4 linked regions of the Canis lupus familiaris genome follow. The protein of the gene in region 2 interacts with the protein of the main gene of each other region in a pairwise test. Links are inferred from orthologs where the notes say so. Each region holds a gene or a part of one and is shown on either strand. Other genes may lie near its edges.

Region 1 (5,508 bases), on a different chromosome or scaffold from region 2:
GCAGACCCAGGCGGCCGACCCCGGAGCGGGGCCTCCTGGCGGCGGGGCAGGGGCGGGGAGGCGCAGGGAGCCAGGAGCCGGGAGCGGGAGCGGGAGGCGCCGGCGGGGCTCGGGTGTCGGGAGGCGGCTCCCGCGAGCAGCTGTCGGGGGCCTGTTCCGGGGAGAGGAGCCGGGGCTGCGGCGGCTCGGGCCCAGGCGCCGCCCCCCCCAGCGCCCCTCCCCCCCCCCCCCCCCCCCCCCCCCCCCCCCTCCCGGGCCGCGCCGGGCCCGCCGCTCCCACGCCGCCCCCCAGCATTCCCCGGCTCGCCCGGGCCCCCCCAGGTAGCCGCCCTGCGGCCCGCGCCGCCCAGCGCCCAGCCCCCTCCGCCTACCCGCGGCCCAACCCCCAGGCCCCAGGGTCCCCACTAAAGGCAAGAGCCGAAGCCCAGGCCCCACTTGGGGCCTCCCACACATCCAGGCCCCGCGAGAGGAGGGCCCCCTCCCTACTCCCCGTTTCTGGGCTCAGTTCCTGGAGAGGGAGGTGAAGGGGGCAGCCCCAGGGCGCAGGGAAGGAGCAGGTTCCCACAGGCCCGCTGCCAGCCCAGCAGCAGCAGTTTGGATGGAGGAAGGGAGCAGGGCTCACCTGTCCAAGCAGGTCCCCAGACCCACACTTCTCACACCACCGACCTTTGCTTCTCTCCGGCCCCCTCTGGCCTTCTGGCCTCTACACCCTGATCCAGACTGCCCCAGAGCCTGAGGGCCCCCACTCTCTCCTAGCCCCATTCTCTCTCTACTTGCACCTTCTACACTCACCGCCCCCCCTCGCTGCCGCCCCCTCACTCCCAGTTCTCTCAGGACCCTTTGGCCCAGACTCCTAGGCCCTAGGCCCCTTTGGCTCCCTGCTCAAGGCCCAGGAGTCCTCAGGCAAGCCTCCCTCCCGCCCAGCCAGCTCTGGCCCTGGTAAGGTCGAGGCTCTGACCACTGGCAGCGACACACCTGGACGAGGTGAGGAGGTTGTGGGGGACAGAGAGAGAATCGGACACAACCTAAAGGCACCGGAAACAGGAGTCCCAGAGATGGGCAAGGAGGCTGGGTGAGGTGGGCAGGATGGAGGACCTGTGGTGGGAGGTGCTGCACCCCACTGGGCACTGCCTCAGGCCACCATCCCTCCACACCCACACCTGTCAGCCCCACATCAATGTCACCGGCTCAGAAAGATCTGAGTCCACTGCAGATCTCCACCCCACCACACCTCACAACAGATAGCAACTCACACCGTACGTGCAGTCCCAGACAACAGCCCCAAGAAAGAAACACCGAGTCCCAACCAGACAAGTACACAAAAGTACTACCAGGAAGAAGTTGGCCCTCAGTGTGGGCAAGAGCTCCAAACCACCCGGGACACACCAATCCCAGCACGTCCAGCTGCTAAGGGGCTCACTAACGAACAGCCCCATGGCCACTCGGAGATTTGCCTCTCCCCACTGTCCCCTCTGACCAAACCTAGAGGTTCCCAGGGACACATACCCCTCTGAAGACGGCCGCTGGGGAATCTGGGCCCAGGAGAGGCTGAGCCAGGGGTGGAGCCAGGCCGGGGGTGGGGCCAAGGTTCCCCCAGTTACCTCACCTGGGCCAACTCCCGACCCCTCCTCCCAGGGACTGAGCTGGGAGGAACCCTGGGCGGGCAGGCCCGGCTGGGCTGCAGCCAGAGCCCCAGGGAAGCCCCTCACCCGCGGCTGGGACCTTCCACACCCCAGGCCCACGCTCCTGAGCCTGGTGGCATGGCAGGGCCAGACAAAAGGGCCCGCTGGGGAGAGAAGACGAGACCATAGAACCCTGAAACTCTTGTCCCTGATCTCCCCCAGGAGAAATTCCTAGTCGGTGATAGCCACCTCCACCCAGCCTGAAGCTGGAAGAGTGGGAGGGATGCAGGGCTGGGGCCCAGCGGAGTCAAGTGACAGCGGAAAGGGGGCTGGAGCTGGCTGGAATGCGGGGCTCGGAGCCGAGATTCCCAGGGGCCAGAGAGGGAAATCCCAGCTATCCAGGGGCCCCTAGAGCGATGCCAAAGACTGAGAGTGTCCACACAGTCTTTCATGGCCCTCGAGCCCATCCCACATCTACCGCATCGTTCCCAACTCCAGCCCCCAAAGGGCGGTCAACATCTCCTACACCATGCCGTCCCTCCCAGGTTACCCACCCCCCAAGCCAATGGCCTCTAGCCGCCCAGGAAGGAGAGGAGGGGAAACAGCTAAAAAAAAATGTGAGGAAAGGCACATAGGGGCCAGCAGACCACCCGCCGCTGCAGGGAAGGCCTGCAGGGCAGAGTGAGAAGGATGGACCACAAGGGCCCCACACACACTAGTGGCAGTCCCTCCCCAGGAGACGCAGCTGCCTCCTGGGCCAGCAGCTGGGGACGATGAGAACTGATGGGGCCAGGGGGTGGCAAGGCCACGGCCATGAGTCAGGCCTCGATACCACTAAGTACAAATGGGAAACTGAGGCCCAGAAGTGGAAGCAGGAGGGAGAGATGACCTTGTATGGGGAGAAAAATGAGGCTGCTCAGAGGCAGCAGCCCAGAGGGTGGGAGGGGATGGGAGGTGGGAGGGCTGGAACTCAGAGGGAGGGAATGGGGGTCACAAAAAGGAAAGGGGGATGGAGATGAAGGCACACACAGCAGAAGGCAGGAGGTGGAGATGTGAGGAGAAGAGGGCTGGACTGAGCAGCTGACCCAAGTGGCAGTGGGCACTCAGAAAGTAGGGCTGGAAAGTGAGGAGCCCTAAGAAGTGGCCCACAGCCCAGGGGGGACGATCAACAAGGCAAAGGAGAAAAGGGGTTGTAGTGAAACCAAGAGATGGGAGAAGAGGAGGGAGACTGAGGCACAGGGGTTGAAACGAAGGGACAGAGTGAGATGACAAGAAAGGGGCCAGGAAAGGAGGGGGCAACGGTGGGACGGACCAGAGGACAGAGGCCCCGACCTTTCCTTGGGAGGAGCCTAGCCATCGGCAGCGGCGTGGCCCCCAACTCCACTGGGCATCCTTGACGCCCCGCCCTCCTCCCACACCACCTCCCCAGGACGGGTGGGCCCAGCTCCAGCCCCCACCGCTGCCCCCTCACCTCCAGCTCGGGGTTCTCCTGAGTCCCAGTTCCCCGGCTCAGCCCTCCGGGTTCCAGGCCTGGGGTGGCCCAGGCGCCGGGCTTTGTCCGCCTCTCCCGGGGCTGAGAGCAGCTGCCCCGGCCAGCTGCAGCCGGCTTCGCCGTGACCATGGCAACCCGGCCCGCTGCCCTCCCTCAGCCCCTCCCCCAGCCGACCGAGCTGCGCGGCCCCGCGGAGAGGGAGGGAGCGGCCGGCCACTGGGAAGGAGGGGAGGGGGCAGAGGACTTCAAAACTGAACCAGGGGGAGACCCCAGACAAAGAGACCCCAGACAAAGGGAGATGACGGCGGCAGCGTCGGGCCGGCTGCACTGGCTGGCTGTGGCTGAGGCCTTACTCGGGCAGGGGATGTCCAGTCCTCCCAAGGGGGGAGAATCCAGACGTCGCCTGGCTGCAGGCCCTTGGAGGCCTCCTTCTGGGTCCCTAACAATCCACTCCCTCCACTCAGGATTTTGAAAAAGACACCCTGTTTTCAAGAACAGCCCCAGCTTCAAACATACGCTGACCTGTCACCTCTGAAATCAAATGTCCTTGTCAGACAGTGTCCGCCAGTTCTTAGTTTGGAAAATTTGATCCTCAGAGCAGAAGGTGACTGATAGGAGGGGGTGGCGCAGGGAGGGAGGTAGTGACCACACCTCTCACAGAGGGGAGAGAAAGCAGAGTACCAAGTGGGGAGAGGGGAAAGCAAGGCTTGGCCCCTCCGAGGTGAGGGCTGAGCTTGCCACTCACCATCTAGCTTCTTGTGCTGCATCCTACTGCATCAGTTCCCTCACCAGTAGACTGACATAACACCTGTCCCTGGAGTCTGTTGTGATAATGTGAGATGGCATCTGTAAAGCACAGGCAGGCCCTTTCATGGAAGCAACCAGCCACACTCCACTAACACGATCTCCCTCTGTGGCTCCCTCATGTGTCACTCAGGTCTCTGAGTTCCACCTCCCAGTTGATTCCATAGTTCCTAAGGGTTTGTGCGGGCAGGGCTCTGAAAGCAAGCACTGTAAGACATACATTGAGGAACACAACCCACTCCGTGCCACCCTCCCCAGGCATTTACAGTCAAGAGGGGGAGCCAGACATGTATATGCATATATATATACGTATATGTCTATAATCGCAGAAGGTAGCATCACCTGCGCTGGAGCTGGAAGGGGCTAGGGAAACCCAGGGGAGGAGCAGGCCAGTCCTGAGTCAAGGTCAAGGAAGACTTCATGGAAGAGTCGGAGTTTGGACTAGGCCTTAAGTGAGATGGAGATTTGCAGAGATGAGGCAGGGCCGCTCCTGGCTGAGGAAGGGAGGCATGAACATGGTTATGTGAAAATGCAGCTGTGACAGGAAGTCAGGGTCTGCCCAAGTGAGTAAACCCAGAGAGGCAGCGTGAGGTGAGGTGAGGTGAGGTGAGGTGATCTCATTAGTAGTTTGCCTCATTCTGTTGGTGAGAAGGGCCTTGGGATATTGAGCAGGGAAACGGCATGAATAGATTTTTAAAGGTGGTTCCTGGTGGCAGTGTGTTGGCAGCATCTGAGAGCAACAGCTGAGGGGTGCGGGTGGGAGGGCGTGTTGACTGTTGATCTCAACTTTATTCTGTCCACATCTAGCCAGTGTTTGACCTTCCACCCCCAGCCAGGAATGCCATGAGGAAATGCTGAGATCCTGTAGGGAAGTGGTGCACAGGCTAGATATTTTCCTGGTATTTACACCTATCATTTGGCCCTCTCCACTGGAGCCTTTGAGGTGGGTGGCACAGAGCTCTTCATAAAAGGAGAACCAGGGCTGGAGAGGTTCTGAGGCAAGTTACTGCTTCCTGCCCAGGACCTCTCCTAAATTCCTCCGCCTGTCTTCCAAAAGGGGGAGGGTAGAAGGAGGGGATCCAGAACAGCCCCTGTGAGGCCAGACTAGACACTCATCTCAGCCTCTGAGTCCTGCTCTCCCTGGAAACTTCACCTTTCAGCCAACTGCGGAGGCTTACGTTTCCTGCGATGAACAGGGAGGCGCATGCTTCACAAGTGACCAACAACCAACACTGCTATTGGAGAAAGAAGTGAAGGCCTGGAGGGAAAGAAATTCCAGCCTGGGCCTGGAGGCCAGAGAGGGAAGAAGGTAGGAGAGAGAAAGGCTGAGCACAAGCTTAGGGTTGATGCGGGTCTCACTGGGGTGAAATATCCTGATAGTCCTGTATCAGAAATATTGTTGTTTATAGACAGAATCTCAGAATCTTCACTTTCTCTCCTCTGTTGTCCTTTGCCAAGAGCCTGTGGTACTCTCAGCAGCCCCTGGCCTCTTTCTGCTGGCGCTGCTGATTACTGAGCCTTGCTAGGGCCAGGCTCTGCCTTCAGCACTTTCCTGAGTCCTCTTATCACAGCTCTGTGATGTGGCATTTT
Region 2 (5,696 bases):
CAGGAGAATCAGGAAAATTCTGATTTTTGTATTGATCATGGAGGTGAACAATTTCAGGTATGCATCTTGGAAGTTCATGCCAGTACCCTGTAGGGGAGCCTGGAACCAGGGGAAATAAAAAAGGCAGGCCTACATTCACCTTATTTGGTTCCTTTTTTCATTTGAGAAGCTGAGTTATGTGAACTATTCTGGTGCTTTGCCTCCATTACGTTATTTTACTTCTCAGCTAGTCTTTAGTAGATACCCACGAAGGGCTTTAAGGTCAGTGGTTTTTGTTTTCATTAACAACAAGCTTATATTAGAAAGTCTGATCCCAGGGTGGTTCTAAGGAGGCGGTCTGACTTTTCTTGGTCTACCTAATGTTTATTAGGTTTAAAAGAGACGTTAACTGCAGGGAAGACAAACTCCTATCACTTCTCATTTCTGAGCACTGTCAATGCTTACTCGACAGGCACATCACCTGGTGTACCTCTCCTTTACTGGAAAAAGGTTTCTCTTGTAGCTGCCATATTAACAGCACTCCTCCCCTCCCTCACAACCCACAACCCCCTCCCCCATGTCTGAACCGAATAGTCAATGACATTATTTATCAAAATAAATTTATTAAAAGTATTCAAAGACCACGTCAAAGTTTAGCTGCCTTCAGGACAGTTTTTGGCACTCATCATGAACAATGTAGTTTCCTACACAACAGCACTCGTTCTGTTCTAACACTTAACAATTCAAACAGACCATTTCAGTTTTAGTGTTACAGGAGACAACAGTACTGATGATCTGTAGTCGTATGAACTTCAACACCCTTGCACACAGTAAACATTTTAATATTACTTATTCTAAATAACTAAAACTAAAACCACTATGTGGTAATGGACTGAATTAGGGAAAGATATACAGCCAGCTAGCTAAGGCCACATAATCCCAGACCTATTGATTTTAAATGTGTTTGGACCAACAGTGTCACATCAGACCTTTGGGTCTCCCATTCCTGCCTTTCCAGTGTGAGTGAGACACACCACATTTGGACCACCTTCTCCCTGGGTTCTAGACAGAGCTATGGGAGCCGTCCCAACACAAGCTTCTCCTACACAGTCACCAGCTTCCTGATTCACTAACTCTGAATCAATAGTTCTGAGTGATGTTTCCTGAACACCCAGGCTAAATTCAAGGTCAGTCTTTTTGGAAGGTCGCAGCCTTTCCCCTTAGGAACAAAATGAAATGTCCTCCACTCTTGGGCTCCCCTTTTCGTCTCATGTAGCATGGGGCTCTGTGGCGATCTGTGGCTTTTTACACAAGTCCTGATAGAATTCTGACTCCAAGAAACGGGGATAAGAGTTGTTCTCCATCAAGCTGTAGACCCTTTTCTGGGCGGTTGTAAAGCAGCCACTTGTAGCTTCTTGTATGTTTTGGGCAATCAGAGTTTTGGTTTGAAAGTCTATGTTTATCTGAAATTATAAAAAAAAAGGGGTTTATTCCATATTCAAAGCTAGGGACTGATACCTATTTAATCGTTGAAAACAAGCAGCAAAAACTATAATGTGTGATGAGCTTCATTAGCCAAGTCATTGAAGAAATGAAATTAAGCGAATTAAAAACTAGAATTAGTTTCTTGAAACAATCTTGTCCCTCCCCCCTTTAATTTAATGTCTTTTTGTTTCATTTTGGTGCTAAGAATATTCAAAATATGCTGAATTGAAGTTCTTTTTTTGCCCCCCTTACCTCTTTAGGTGCTTCTTTTTCTATGAAATCAGTATATATTTTCCTTGCTTTGGAGGACAGCTTTTGGGGTGACTTGGTTTTTTTGAAGTCTTCGCAGGCCAGCCAGAACTCAATATTTTCTTCACAAAACTCAGATTTTAAAAAAGCCCTGAATGCAGCAAGACCATCTGGGGAGGAAGAAAGGGGGGAAAAAACATGCAGAATGTAAATTGGGTGACCAATTAATGCCTTAAAATTTTTCCAGAACTACCATTCTCCCATCCCTATATTTTATTATTTCTAAATGATGGCAATTTTCTATATTTCACTCAAACTTGTAACCCTCAGAATTTAGCCTTTTAAAGACTAAGATGCTAATAGGCAAAATGCATAAGCTGGCACACTGCTACAAAATATACTTAACTTTGCTTTTAATGCAAATATTTAGAGGGGAACCTAAATTCTCCGGGCTCCAAACCTCCTGGAAACCTTGTATGCAATGGAAAAAGCTGATTCAATTCAACCTTAAGGAAGAGCAACTGCCCCTACAATTTGGGCTACTTTTCCTTCCCTATCTACAGTGAAGAAACCATGTATTTCTATGGTTAAACAGGAAATAAAGGAGAAAAATAGGCATTAGATCTTTAGTGATTGCAAATTTGAATTCCCCTTGAGCAATCTGCTTTTCTGTTGTGAACACCTTTGTGGACTCTTGTGATATTTGTGATATCTTGTGAAATGGATCAAATTCAAAAGGTTAACTTACATTTACTGGCTAGCAGCTCATCAAACGCTTCTGACCACAGCTGTGCTTCCTCAGGAGAAGGCCTGCAAAAGAAGGTCTGCTCATTAGCTCGTGCACATCAGAATTCCTCTTTTCAGCTCAGCAGCTAGCTATTCATGTTCGCAAATACAAGATTTTTCAACTTACTTGATGAAGGTTTGCTGTTTGCTTTTCTTGCCATTTTTGGGCTTCCCAGGAGACGACGAATTTTGTAAGAAGTAGCTCAAACGGGTCTTCCAATCTTTTAATCTTAAAAAGAAAAAAAAAAAAGATATTCACTAAGTGACAACGTTTGAAATTGCTGTGGCAGCTGAAGGCATTTTTACCAAATAAAGCCACCCAGTAGCAACAAGAATCTTCAAGTCAGTCTTACTCATTTTACATTTAAACCTAGCACCTACGTGCTTAACGCAATTAGTTTCATCCCTTCATCTGAGCAGAAGTACTACTCTCATAACCAAGGGTAAGTCTACCTAGGACATTTAAATGAATTTAGATGGCATATTTCAAAAAGACAGATGCAATTTCTGACCCACAAAAGACCGCAGTTTTTCTGCAGCCTTGATTACAATTCTGAGACATTTCACACTTGAAGAAACCTAACACTGGAACTGCTTGGAGCCAGTGGGTGTTCATTTCCCTCCTACCCTTAGAGCAAGAGGCTCTGGACCACTCCAGAAGCCATGAGGCAGGGGGTGTATGTGTGTCCGAGAGAGAGAGAGAGAGAGAGAGAGAGAGAGACTGAGTTCCCCTGCCCCAGCCCAACTACAACACTCATTTTAAGCAGATGATGCATAACGATGATTTGCTGCACAATCTTTAGTGGGTGAATTAAGCAATTCAGTCAAAAAAAAAAAAAGCGATTTTAAAACGAGTATGTTCAGAACCAGCCAAAATATTCCAATCCGGAAGCTGTGCAAGCTGATCAGAACTTATAATGCAAGGCACCAGTGCTGGGGATGTGCTTCGGCCCCAGGATCCTCGGCTGCTACCTTAGACGCAGGGGCCACAAAGCCAACCTGCGAGGTCTTAGCCTCCTCATCCTCCTCATCACCACCGCCTCCCTATCTAACATGCTCTCAGTCCTAAACTACCCGAGAGTCCTTGGCTCACGCACACAGATTGAACCTTACTTAGCTAATTGCCCTCTTCCACATTTTTGCTTTTCCCTGCAGAGGCGCGGGTCGCAGGGTTTCCTAACGTCATCACGTTCGCAGCAAACCCGGAGCGCCAGGTGCGCAGCGCGGGGCGGGCGCCCGAGGGCCGTACTCACAGGGTCCGCTTCATCTTTTCCCGCTTCTCCTCGTGCTTGGGGCTGTTGCTCGAGCTCTTGTCCATGGATCCGCAGTCGTGCTGGACGGCCAGGAACATGGCACTTTGCATCGTCCACCGCCTGCCGGGGCCGCAGCTCTGCGCGGCGGGGCGCGGGCGCCGCCTTTATGGGCGGCGGCGGGGAGGGGGCGGGGCCTCCGCCGCCGGGCCCGCCCCCCGAGGGCACCGATTGGTCGGCTGCACCCGGGCGCGGGGGCGGGCGGCCCGGCCCGCGGCGGTCACGGGCGCCGCCGAAGGCTCTCGAAGCGAGGTGGGCTGACGTCCGGGGCTCGGGCTCCGGCTCCGGCTCCGGCTCCGGCTCCGGCTCCGTGCGCGCTCGGGCCCTCGCGGCGGCTCGCGGGGTTGCGTGTGGGATCGGACCGGGACGCCTCGCCGCCAGCCGCGCCCCGGCCACGGGACGACGGGACGACGGGACGACGGGAGGGGGCGCTCCCGGCCCTGGAGGGGTGCAGGCTCCGGCGGGGAGAGGCTGCTGGGAGCGGACCGGGGTGCAAGTGCTTTATTTTGAGTTAAGATGTTTTCCAACCCCCCGCCCTTGTTTTTTGGAGAGCGCGCCCTCTTCCCACGCCTCATTTCTTGCAAACAGGCCGCGGGGAGACCCTCCCCTCTTCCGCTGTGCGACTCCGTTGAGTTGGGAGGGGAGGAAAAGATGAAAGGGAGGGGCGGGGCGGGGGCGGGGGCGGGAGCGAGGGGGGTAGGGGCGGAGGGGGGCAGGGGGAGGGGGCGGGGGGCAGGGGCGGGGGGGCAGGGCAGGGGGGACAGGGTCAGGGGAGGGGGCGGGAGGGCAGGGGCAGGGGCGGGGGGGCCGGGGTGGGGGCAGGGGAGTGGGGCAGGGTCAGGGTCAGGTGGGGGAAGGAGCAGGGGCAGGGGGGGCCGGGGCGGGGGCGCGGGGGACGGGGGCGGGGGTGGGGCAGGGGAGTGGGGCAGGGGCGGGGGGGCCGGGGCGGGGGCGCGGGGGACGGGGGCGGGGGTGGGGCAGGGGCGGGGGCAGCGACCCCCGCGCGGCCGGGGGGTGGGGTGGGGGGGGGCAACCCGGAACCCTGCGGGGACTGAACGGTAAGCAGGGAAGGAACCGGAGAAAGGGACTTTATCCGACGGCCGTGTTTTAAGAGGGTGTGCAGCCTTGCTCCCCGCAACCTGCGTGATTGGGTCTTCCCGTGGGGTTGCAAAGCTTTTTCTCCGAAATCCTTGGTTGCTTCTCCTTCCAGGACAGAGAAGTCCCAGCTCTCCTCACGAGGAGACGGAGGGAAACACCAAGACGTGGAAACTGTGATGCGCCAGAGCCATCCTCGTCCTGGGAGTGCAAGGATGCAGGGTTTCCTCATGAGTCATTCTTGGCTGAGAATTTACCAGAACACTTAATAACTTGCAAAGTGGGGGAGGGAGGAGAAGAAGACGTGAAGGGTTTACTTGCATAATTTGGTGATTGTTCAAAAATCATCTGTGCGAAGGCCGGCTTTAAGTGTTTTTGAGTGGGAAGGACAAACGGAGAAGGTCCACAGTCGATGACCTCAACACAATTCACTCCTTGATTTCAGGTATCAGAGCCGTACAGTGGAATATTCAGATGGTTTCCCCATCAAGCATTTAAGTACAAAGTAAGACTCACAGCAAGGTATTGATTAGGCTACAGATACTCTCCGAGCTTTGCATTAGAACTGCCAAAAGGAAATTGGAGCTAGTTTAACTTCGTGCCCTGAGCAGCCAGTAGTTGACATGTAGGGTAAAATCTGCAGTTACTACTAAAGAGAACAGACATGTAGTTCATTATGGAAAGGAAAAAAAAAAAAAAAACATTTGGATTTCAGTAATAAATACTTCAAGATGTGTTTGTGAAATGTAAGAATGCTGTTTTTCTCATGCATATACTCTGTCTCTACAAGAA
Region 3 (5,547 bases), on a different chromosome or scaffold from region 2:
AGAAAGCCCAGGAGGCAGGAGTGGGATGGTGCCTCACCTGGTGGTACCCTGTGCAGGTGACAAGCTTCTGAGACTCAGGAAGAAACTGTATGTCCTGATCCCAGATGGGAACTCGCAGGTCAAGCCAGTCATTCCGTACCTGGTCAGGGGTGGGTAGATGGGAGATAAGTTGTGGGAGGCTCATAGGCCCTTTCCTTCAGCCCTTTATCATCATCCCCTAAAGCCCACCTGGTCTCTGACTCAGTCAGTGGCCTCAGCCCCAGAACCTCCCACCCGTTACTTACATTCTTGGCCCTGAACACAGGTTCCTCAGACCCCTGTAGGTCCCACACCTTCAAAGCATTCTCTTTCCCACCCGTAGCAACCATGTGGGGGTGAGCTGGGTCTTGGCGCATCCTACACACCCCAGGACCCACACTCAGTTCCAAGAGCTGAAAAGAAGAGGAGATAGGAGGGGAGATGAGAAGCAGTTCCATAGTCTTTAATTCTTTAATCCTCTTACCCCAAAGCCCTCACTTGGTTCCTGGCCCCCACCTTCCCCAACCATCACTGGCAAGCCAGGGGAGCCTTACTGGGTCAGAGGATGCCTCCTTGTCATTCTCACGCCAGACTCGGACAATCCCAGAATCTACACATGTGATGAGGGTGCTGCAGACAGAGGAGGATAGAGTTAGGTTAAAAGAAGAAAAGTAGGGCACCCCGGCTGGCTCAGTGGTTTAGTGCTGCCTTCAGCCCAGGGCGTGATCCTGGAGACCTGGGATCAAGTCCCATGTCGGGCTCCTTGCATGGAGCCTGCTTCTCCCTCTGCCTGTGTCTCTGCCTCTCTTTCTGTATGTCTCTCATGAATAAATAAATAAAATTTTTAGAAGAAAGAAAGAAAGAAAGAAAGAAAGAAAGAAAGAAAGAAAGAAAGAAGAAAGAAAGAGAAAGAAAGAAAGAAAGAAAGAAGAAAGAAAGAAAAAGAAAGAAAGAAAGAAGAAAGAAAGAAAGAAAGAAGAAAGAAAGAGAAAGAAAGAAAAAAGAAAGAAAGAAAGAAAGAAAAGAAAGAAAGAAAGAAAGAAAGAAAGAAAGAAAGAAAGAAAGAAAGAAAAAGAAAAGTAAGTGTAAAAGTAATCTCTAGACCCCAGTGGACCCACTCCCAGATTTATTACAAGATTCTCTCCTTCCAGGTCTGTTATTTAATATCCTCAACAAGAGGAGGGCTTATCAGTTTTGTGAGTGAGGAGACTAAAGCTCTCAGAAATGATAAGACTTGCCTACACAACTATAAATGTCAGAACCAGAGCTGGAAATCAAGTCTGTGACACTCCAAAGCAGAAAGCCTTTGCTATTCCACAGCTATGTCTGGGGGCACCTGGCCCTGCTGGTCTTTCTGAATCTTAAGTGGGTCACCAGGAGTCAGGATCAGTAGCTCTGGTGAAGTGGGACTGGTCTAAATTTAGGATCTGGCCAAAATCAAACACTAGCTTCTTCCCTCGAGTTCCCTGTTTGGAGTTCCAGATGGTAAATATCAATCTTGCCCTCAAAGTATGCACCCCTCCCATGAACCCCAAGCAAGTCTCTCCCAGGAATAGGAGCTGCAGAATCTGAGCCTATGTTCTTTCTCATGTCTGCCCACCTTCTCTACCTCGGTTCAGGCTGTGTCGCTTGCCTGGACTGTGGCAACAGCCTCCCCACGGCTCTTTCCAATCCATTTTCCTTGCTCAAACGCAATACCCCCTATCACCTGCAAATCACAAGCGCAAAAATCTCAGCCTGGCTATGAAAGACATTTAATACCTACCTAGCTTGCTCATATTGTATTAAAATGCATCCTCGGGCTCAGCGGTTTAGCACCGCCTTTAGCCCAAGGGCGTGATCCTGGAGACCCGGGATCCAGTCCCAAGTCAGGCTCCCAGCATGGAGCCTGCTTCTCCCTCTGCTTGTGTCTCTGCCTGTGTGTGTCTCTCATGAATAAATAAATAAAATCTTAAGTAAGTAAGTAAGTAAGTAAGTAAGTAAGTAAATAAATAAATAAGTAAAAAATACATCCTCGGCTTCAACCCCCAAATGCTGTTTATCTTTCCCATAATTACAGTGTAGCCTGACACCAATCCTTGGCCTCTGCCCAGGTGGTAGCCTCTTTCTAAAATGCATTTACTCTATTCTCTTCCGGTCAAAATTCTGCCCATCCTTCATGGCCCAGTGCAAATGTCTCACCCACACAGACATTTCTACATCTCACTTGTCAGAACACCACCAAACCTACACAGCTTATTCATTCACAGCCTTCTCCATCTTTGGAAGAAAAAGAAAACGTTTGGCAAGTTACCTAACCGGTAGCACTTTCCTATCCTTTACTTTGAGAACTTCACCGTGTTGTTGGTGGTTGTTAGTCTCTGTTTTCAAACATACTTTAAACTATTAAATGACCTGCTCAGGGTCACCCAAAAGATTATGGAGCCAGAATGCAAAACTCTAGAGGATGCAAACTCCATGAAGGCAGGTACTTCACTGATGCATCTGGTTTACCTGCAGCCTTTGCATTTCACCCCATGCCTGTTACTCAGCAGGTATTCAATAAATGCTTGTTACAGGTAGGACACAGGTTCCTGTCACCCGCCCCAGTCCGTGGCACTATGGGTTGATTGTCATTACTCGGCCTTCCTGAGGGAGTCTCCACGCTCTTCCTACAATCTGAGCGTTCAGCGAGGGGCTCGGTCTTACCTGTCGACCTGGGCGAGGCCTCGGAACGTGCCTTCCCCACCGGGGCAGTGCTTCTGGCCCTGAAATCGACCCTCCTCGGTGCTGAAGAACCTCACTGTTCTGTCGGCGCACCCCACCAGGATCTGCGGGTAGAAGAGGGCAGGATGACGATCAAGCAGGGCTGCCGCACCCTGGCTCCCCAGCTCGGGACCGAACAGCTGCCGCTCACCTGAGTCTCACCGCCGGCGCCCCAGCACAGGGCGCTCACCGCCTCCTCGCGCCGCGGCTGTCCAGCAGCCGTGAAGTTCGCCGCCTGTTTGCGCTGAAGGTTCACCCCTGCGGGAGGCGGGCGTCAATCGCGCCGCGGTCACGAGCGGGGGCCACCCTCCACCTTCCCCACGCCGGGCCCAGCCACCCACCTTTCAGAATCCCGGTCTCGGTGCCCACCCACACATGGTTCCAGCGTGCCCCAGCAGCGGCCGCCATAACGGAGCCCGGCAGCCCGCTGCTCGCACTTCCGGCGCAGCGTCTGCGTCACCAGCGCGCGCGGAGCGGATCTGGACGGTCGCCGCCTCCGGGAGTTCTAGCAGCCGGAACCAGGGAACTTGGTGGTGACTTGGGAAAAGCTTGCGACTTTTGATCTGGGGATCGTGTTGGCGCTCCACGTTGGGTGTAGATATTTAAATAAATAAAAACTAAAGAAAGGGATCCCTGGGTGGCGCAGCGGTTTGGCGCCTGCCTTTGGCCCAGGGCGCGATCCTGGAGACCGGAGATCGAATCCCACGTCGGGCTCCCGGTGCATGGAGCCTGCTTCTCCCTCTGCCTGTGTCTCTGCCCCTCTCTCTCTCTCTCTGTGACTATCATAAATAAATAAAAATAAAAATAAAGAAAGAAAAAAAGAGAGAGAGGGAAGAGTAAGGACCCCCTGCCTGCGCCAACTGGTTTTGCTTTAGGAAGAGGGAATCTGGAGACACCTGTTCCTGATCCGGAGTAACTTGACAGTTTTGCACTTGGAGCGGAAGGCATCCTAGCCAGACCGCGTCGCCCGGGGGAGCCAGGCCTAGTCCGTCTCCCTATTCCAAAGCATCATGTACATCTTGTCTTCTGAACAAGAAAGCACACTTTAGAAATGACTCAAATCACTAATGAGGCACATGGCTTCGACCTCGAGTGTAAAGGACAAAAGGAAGAAAGATGGGGAAGATGAAACTGACGATCTTAAAGCAGAAATCTGGAAAGTGGAGGTAGGGACGTCGTGTTTTCTTTCCTCATCTTGAGGTTTGGTGATGGTGAAAATCAGTTCTGACTGACAATAAAAATCTGCAAAATTAAAACAGTATTTCTCTCCCAGGGACAAACGGCTACTTTACAACGTCGGGACAGCCCCTTCTTTGAGTGACTACTGTTTTCTTATGGAGAGATTTTTCTTCTCTGAAATTAGAGTAGCAAAAACTTGACTGTTTGAGATGATACCAGTAAGAATAAAAACATCCCACTTTTGCCTGCACAGGCCTCTACAGAGAAACAAGCCTCCGTTTGCAGCTCAGCTGCAGAGCTGCTGGTGCGAGTTCTGGGCATCACATTCCACATTTATCTTAACGTCGTATTACCAAGGAAACAATCACCCTGGCTCTACTTCACAGTCTATACCTGCTATTGGCCTCCTTGGGCACTGCCGCCCCCCCCCCCCCCAACCTGGTATTGAAATAGCACAGCATTAAACTAAACCTAAATTCGCCCTTATCTTTAAAATTCTACATTTAGGGAGCCCGGGTGGCTCAGCGGTTTAGTGCCGCCTTCAGCCCAGGGCTTGATCCTGGAGATCAGGAATTGAATTCCACGTCGGGCTCCCTGCATGGAGCCTGCTTCTCCCTCTGCCTATGTCTCTGCCTCTCTCTGTGTGTGTGTGTGTGACTATCATAAATAAATAAAAATTTTTAAAAATCTTAAAAAAAAAAAGTTCTACATTTAAATCCTTTATCTTGCAGGAGCCTCTTTTGGGTGGGTTTTCTCATTGTAAGCGCCTACCTTTGCCCAGGGCGGGATCCTGGAGTCCCAGGATCGAGTCCCAACAGAGCTCCTTGCAGTTGTTTCGCTGTTATTCCTTAAAACATCTTGAGTTCAGAAAGAGTTTCGTGGAACACTGCTTAACCTGAGAGAAACCAAGTTAAGTTGCTGGCCGGTTGAGAAACAGGCAGTCACTACTTCACCTGTTTCAGCTGTCATCAACACAGGACAGTGTTGGGATCCCTGGGTGGCGCAGCGGTTTGGCGCCTGCCTTTGGCCCAGGGTGCGATCCTGGAGACCCGGGATCGAATCCCAAGTCGGACTCCCGGTGCATGGAGCCTGCTTCTCCCTCTGCCTGTGTCTCTGCGCCTCTCTCTCTCTCTCTGTGACTATCATAAATAAATAACAATTAAAAAAAATATTTAAAAAAAAAAAACACAGGACAGTGTTTACGAAGTGGATTTTCCCAATTCGAACTGCAATAGCTTTTTCTTGCACTTTATGCACCGGCATTACTATACCTTTAGAAAAGGTGCACTTTTTATGATTCATAAGTTATTTGACGAGGGTGGACGGAGTGGTTCATTTACTTTTTTTAAGCTCTCCATGTTACCCGGTATTATAACAGAAGACCACTGGCTCAACCCGGCTGGCCTAGGCCTGTTGTGTGCTGGACCTGACTTACAATGAGACACTCAGCAATTAACCGTCTACCTTCCAGCCCAGGGCATGATCCTGGAGTCTCAGGATCGAGTCCCACAACGGGGTCCCTGCATGCTGCAGGGCTGCTGTTCCTTCTACCTAGGTCTTTGCCTCTTCCCTCTCTCTTATGAATAAATACACAAAATCTTAAAA
Region 4 (5,480 bases), on a different chromosome or scaffold from region 2:
GGTTGTTGGAAGTATTCAGAGATAACACAGTATAACATGTTTAGAATAGTTCCTGTCAGAGTAAACCCTGCGTAAATATTAGCAGCCATTATTATTATTATTATTATTATTATTATTATTATTATTATTAACATATCATTTTCTCTGGCTCTCTCTCAGCCACCAGCAGGTCAGGCGACCAGGAGATCTTCCCGTACGCACGCACATGTGCACACACGCACACACACAAAATGGTAAACTGTTTATGCCGCTCTCCAAATGCAGGGGGTCACTTCATGTTGTCAGACTCTCTGTACCCTTTTCCGATGTCATCACAAGTCTTCCCTGTCCCAGTGACCTTACCCATCCAGAGAGGGGATGCCTCCAGGCCTGAAACTCCCACTACCACCCACGCCCTGGCTCTCCCACCAGCCCTGACCCAACCATGCTTGTGACCTTGTTGTCACTGTCCCCCCTAAGATTCCCCCCACCCCCGCCCCTTGGACACTGCCATACCCTGCCCTGAAATCCATACCAGGCAGGGCTCCAGGCCTCCAGCTGGCTCAGAACAGGCCCAATCACTCCACATCTCTCTCCCCAGCCTGAAGGACCCCACTCACCTCTCTGCGGGGAGTCAGGGCCTGGGCCGGTACCTGCAAAGGAATAAAATGACCCCATTAGCATCCTTCGGGCTCCTCTCTGAAGACCTGCCTCAGAGACCATCTCAGCCACGGAAGTCCCTGGTGTGATCATTCTCTCCACCCTCCTGCTGCAGGCTCTGTATAGTCTCAGACAGACTCGGCGAGTCATTTCTGGAATCCAGGGAGTCTGGGCCTCAGGACTGTTCACCCTCCAAACCTGGGAGTCCAGGACTTTAACCCTTTGTCCTCTGTGGGCTCGCCAGGCCAGACTCCAGCCCCCTCCTCCCTCAAGACTGTGGTGTCTGCAACCCCAGACTCTTCCTTCTTCAAACTCCAGAGTCCAACTCTTGCTTTCTTCCTTTCTCAAGGCTCAGGAATCTGGCCTCCCAGCTGCTCCTCCTCCAGATCCAGGATTACAGGCGCCTAGCCTCTTCCTTCCAGGGTTCACATCCCAGTCCCCCAACTTTAAAGAGCTGAGTGATATGGAGGATAGGAAAGAACCAGAGGTCCCCATCCTCACCATTACACCACTGTCATACCAACACATGTGGACATGCCAAAACCCACATGGACCCACAATACAATTCTCTCCATCTGGATTTCCATGGACACACCAGCATGGTGTGTGCGCCCACCCTCCGTGGGCCCTTGGCCTGGTGTGTGGACACACTTGTGTCCTTGGACTCCCGGATGGACCCCAGCATACCACAGGTCACACCACACAGGCCCCAATCTCACTGGGCCAAGAACTGAGGTAAGCCTTGTACCAGAGAGACAGACACATGGGTGCATATTGCCCTGCACATATGTTTGAACCTATACAACCCCAATCCCCAGAGACCAACACTGACACATAAATGGACTCACAACAGAGACACACACCCTCAAGGTGGACACACCTGCGGCCACAACCACATATGTACAACACTGACTTTCCTTTGCACATTCATACATACTCATGTACACATACAACAGAGGAAGCCATGTGCCCCCTTGCAGACAACCAGATACGTGCACTTATAACAGATATATGCTTGCACACTAGCCAACACACAGGGGCACACGCATATAACATATACTCACTTGCACATACAAGTGATACACAGGTGCATGCTCTTAAATGCCCAAACACACTCATACACACTCATACAACTTCACATATCCCCATGATGCATGGTCACAAAACTGATACATTCCCATACCAACAGATGCACAAACATACACGCTAGCTGATACACACCTCACATACATACACAGAACTACAAGCATACACAGACACACAAAACTGATACACACTCAAGCACACAGCCACAGAAAGATGCACCTTGCACAGACATTCTGGGATGTTCACTCATTCCAGACACATGCTCACACAACAGCCCTGTGAGAGATTTACACACTTCCAAAATGCACATAAAATACTGAACCACAGTAGCATAGGCAACAGATAGGCATAGATTCACACTCACACACAGTCATGAACACACATCCCTCCTAGCTCTGAGGTACCCCCACCCCACCTACTTCCCAGGCCAAAGAAATCCTAACATCCTTCCCTCCCAGCACATCCCACCCCCCCCCAACGGAGGCACAAGCCAGGCCTGAGGTCAGAGTTCAGCAGGTGGAGTCTCAAGGGTTGGGGGGCTGAGTCCTAGAGCCCGGCTACAAGGCTGTCCTCCCACTGGCAGCCCAAAGGTCCCCCGGCCTGGCCATCTGTATGCGGGCAACTCCGGCCCCATCTGCCAGAGATCTGGTAGGGTGGGGGGATTGGGGTGGGGTGGGTGGGGAAGGGCCGGGTCGGTGCCCCTCCCCTAGGCCCATCTGTCCATCCCTCGGCCTCTCATCCCTCCATCTGTCCACCTACCGGCCGCCCATCCCCCCCCAGTCACCGGGAAGGGGAAGACATGGCCGTCTCCCCCAAGGACCGCCGAGGACCCCCCAGCTGACATGGACCCAGGGAGCGGCAAACTCCCCTCCCCCAAACCCACACAGAGGCCTGGACCCACAAGGAATGAGCCCCAGCCCCGCCGGAACCTGACATGGACGCACAGACACACACCCTCGGAGACATACAACCCGCAGACACACACACACAACACACACACACACACACACACACCACAAATGGACACCCGGACGGGCACACCCGGCTACACAAACCCTAGGATGGACATCCAACCTGGACACAAACACCCAACGCAGCCAGCCCCGCGCACACTCGCTGGAGGGGGGGCGGGGGGACCCACACCTGGGCACACAACCCACGCACACACACCTGCACACAGCCCCTCCGATGGGCGCGCGACAGCCCCCCAGACACACAGCCGGGGGGACACACGCGCGCGGCCGGACACAGCACCTCGGCTCGACACCCAGCACACACCCGATGGCCACACAAGCAGGGCGCCGCACACGCCGGCGCCGGGCACACACAGGGCCGCGCGAGCGCACGCCGGGCCCGCCGCAGCGCCGCGGACACACACTCGCACGCTCGCACGCTCACACCCGCGCTGCCACCGGCGCCCCCGCCCGCCGCCTCCCGGGCCGCTGCGGGCCGCGCTCACCCAGCCCGGGGGGGCCCCGGGCCCGGCCCCGCCGCCGCCGCCTCGCTCCGCGCCATGGTGGGGGGAGGGCCGGGGGAGGGGGCGCGGTGCCGCGGGGCCGCCTCCCTCCCGCCTCCCGCCCTCCCTCCCGAGCCGCCGCCGAGCTCCGCCCTCCGCGCCGCCCGCCGCCAGGGCCCCGCCGCCGCCGCCGCCGCAAGGGGGGAGGGGGCGCCGGCCGGAGGGGGCGGGCGGGACGGCCGCGGCGCCCGGACCCCCACCCGGGGCGCGCCGCAGACCCCTCGCCGCTGCCGAGCCGCCGGCCCGCCCCCGGCCCCTCCCCCCGCCCCACCCCCAGCCCCGCCGGCTTCCCCAGAGACCCCCAGGCCACGCCCCAACTGGCGTGGGGACTCGGATCTCCCAGCGGAGACCTGGGATCAGGTCCCCAAAGCCAGGAGAACCTGACCCCATACCTTACCTCCTCTGAGGACCCAAACCATGGTCTGCAGCCACGCAGGACCACAAAGCATGTCCTGCTCTCCTTGGTGACCTCAGACTCTGCCCCATACTCCAGCGGGGACCCCAGACCATATCCCAGCACCCAAGGGGAATCCAGAGCACCCCCAGCAGGGACCCTACAGCATACCATCACATCCATTAGACCCCAGACCATGCCCCAACTTCCAGAGGAGACCCAAACCATAAGTCAACATCCCAAGATCATGTCTTACTCCCTTTGGGGACCCAAACCATATCCTATGGCTCCTTGGGGACCCCCAGCCATGCCCTTCCACTCTCTAGGACCACTAACCATTCCCTGACCCTCAACAGGGACTCCAGACCATGTCTAATTTCTAGAGGACCCCAAAATGTCTTATTCCCCCTAAGTTACCTCATTACCCCCATTAGACCCCAGACCATCCTCCCCTCTAAGGCAAGGCTTAGTTTCCAGAACCCCTGATTTGCCCCAGATTCTTTCTCTGCCTCCTTCCTGTTCCTACTCTTTCTTTTGGACCCTGCAGACCCTTCCTCCTCCCTGTAACTTCCTTGCAACCCAGGATTCCTTGCTCCTTTTTTGGTTAGACTCCTTTCTTGCCTAAATCCTACCCACTAGCTGACCCCACCAGCCCTTCCCCACTCTCCACCTCTTTCTGAGATACTCATCAGGCCCCCAAACCCAACAAGGCCTCCCCTCCAAATCTGCCTTATTGCAGTCCCCCAGCTCCCTGGCAGCTCAAACTCTTCCCATTTTGGATCCCACCATATCAACGTCCTCTGCCAAACCCCTTCCCTAAACTCTTCCTAGTTATGTCACTGCTCCAAGCCAGCCCTGTCCCTCAGATCAACGGCACCTCTGCAGAACCTCCCTTTTAGTAAGTCTTGACCCCCACTCCCCATTAGATGCCCCCTGGGGACATTCACATCCCCCCTCTCTCAATCTCCAGATTCCAACAACTCCACTCCCATCACCACCTCCACCCAGGCACCATCTCCATCTCCCAACCTGGTTCCTGGTGCTCCCTGATGGGGTGTGGAGGTCCTGGGCTGGGAGGATAGAGAGAGAATCATAACAACAGCAAAAGCGGACACGCATCCAGCGTTACTGTGTGCCAGGAATGGTTCTAAGGGCCTGACCCACGATTCCATTTACTCCTTCCAGGAACCAGATAAGGAGGTCCCATCACATCCCTATTTTACAGATGAGGAGGTTAAGTAATTTGCCTCAGGTGACATAGGTAACAAGTGGCAGAGCAGGGTAGAGGTGAAGGGAAAAGAAGGAAAGGGTGGGCCTGGGATGGACAGGAGTGGAAAAAAGGAGATCCGCAAATATGGGGAAGCAAAGTGGCTGAACCCAAACAGGGAGGGCCCCACTCACCTCTTTTTTTTTTTAATAAGATTTTATTTATTTATTCATGAGAGAGACAGAGACAGAGACATAGGCAGAGGGAGAAGCAGGCTCCCCATGGGGAGCCTGACGCCAATTCAATCCCAGGACTCAGGATCACAACCAACCTGAGCTGGAGGCAGATGCTTGACTACTGACCCACCCAATTGCCCTCCTCCCCCACTTCTTGACCTCATCCCTTCCACTCCTGTTTCCCAGCTCCAACCATGACACCTTGCTATTCCCCCACACACCAGCTCAGTTCAGTCCAGCCCCTGGGGTCTTTCTTTGCATTATTTCCCCTTCCCTGGCGATTCTTCCTTTTCATTCAAGTCTTAATTCAAAGGTAATCTTTCCAGAGAGGCTTTCCTTTAACCTCCTAGGTTTACACCTCCACCCCCTACCAATTGTCCTGATGTCTGCAAATGACTCTAA

The links. The genes of interacting proteins can lie anywhere in the genome.
Region 1: the proteins of RGS2 (region 2) and DDR1 interact in a two-hybrid assay, tested with the Homo sapiens proteins (2 studies listed by BioGRID and IntAct). The link is inferred for Canis lupus familiaris from reciprocal best matches to the Homo sapiens genes RGS2 and DDR1.
Region 3: the proteins of RGS2 (region 2) and WDR74 interact in a two-hybrid assay, tested with the Homo sapiens proteins (2 studies listed by BioGRID and IntAct). The link is inferred for Canis lupus familiaris from reciprocal best matches to the Homo sapiens genes RGS2 and WDR74.
Region 4: the proteins of RGS2 (region 2) and LRFN1 interact in a two-hybrid assay, tested with the Homo sapiens proteins (2 studies listed by BioGRID and IntAct). The link is inferred for Canis lupus familiaris from reciprocal best matches to the Homo sapiens genes RGS2 and LRFN1.

The regions. Positions count from the first base shown.
Region 1 is NC_049233.1:791,789-797,296, reverse strand, and holds the start of DDR1 (epithelial discoidin domain-containing receptor 1), read right to left. Parts: upstream 3,246-5,508; 5' UTR 3,244-3,245; coding exon 3,094-3,243; intron 1,651-3,093; exon of another isoform or gene 1,507-1,650; intron 1,489-1,506; exon of another isoform or gene 1,437-1,488; coding exon of another isoform or gene 1,332-1,436; intron 148-1,331; exon of another isoform or gene 1-147. UniProt on the Homo sapiens protein: Tyrosine kinase that functions as a cell surface receptor for fibrillar collagen and regulates cell attachment to the extracellular matrix, remodeling of the extracellular matrix, cell migration, differentiation, survival and cell proliferation.
Region 2 is NC_049259.1:6,817,241-6,822,936, forward strand, and holds RGS2 (regulator of G-protein signaling 2), read right to left. Parts: upstream 3,912-5,696; 5' UTR 3,863-3,911; coding exon 3,753-3,862; intron 2,729-3,752; coding exon 2,627-2,728; intron 2,524-2,626; coding exon 2,462-2,523; intron 1,884-2,461; coding exon 1,717-1,883; intron 1,443-1,716; coding exon 1,248-1,442; 3' UTR 583-1,247; downstream 1-582. Other genes in the region: protein SPT2 homolog, read left to right, coding at 3,919-4,319, 5,020-5,173. UniProt on the Homo sapiens protein: Regulates G protein-coupled receptor signaling cascades. Inhibits signal transduction by increasing the GTPase activity of G protein alpha subunits, thereby driving them into their inactive GDP-bound form.
Region 3 is NC_049239.1:54,372,491-54,378,037, reverse strand, and holds the start of WDR74 (WD repeat-containing protein 74), read right to left. Parts: upstream 3,246-5,547; 5' UTR 3,172-3,245; coding exon 3,105-3,171; intron 3,022-3,104; coding exon 2,915-3,021; intron 2,829-2,914; coding exon 2,707-2,828; intron 649-2,706; coding exon 573-648; intron 432-572; coding exon 285-431; intron 140-284; coding exon 38-139; intron 1-37. UniProt on the Homo sapiens protein: Regulatory protein of the MTREX-exosome complex involved in the synthesis of the 60S ribosomal subunit. Participates in an early cleavage of the pre-rRNA processing pathway in cooperation with NVL.
Region 4 is NC_049222.1:114,669,543-114,675,022, reverse strand, and holds the start of LRFN1 (leucine-rich repeat and fibronectin type III domain-containing protein 1), read right to left. Parts: upstream 3,246-5,480; 5' UTR 3,185-3,245; intron 3,020-3,184; exon of another isoform or gene 2,896-3,019; intron 633-2,895; 5' UTR 515-632; intron 1-514. UniProt on the Homo sapiens protein: Promotes neurite outgrowth in hippocampal neurons. Involved in the regulation and maintenance of excitatory synapses. Induces the clustering of excitatory postsynaptic proteins, including DLG4, DLGAP1, GRIA1 and GRIN1.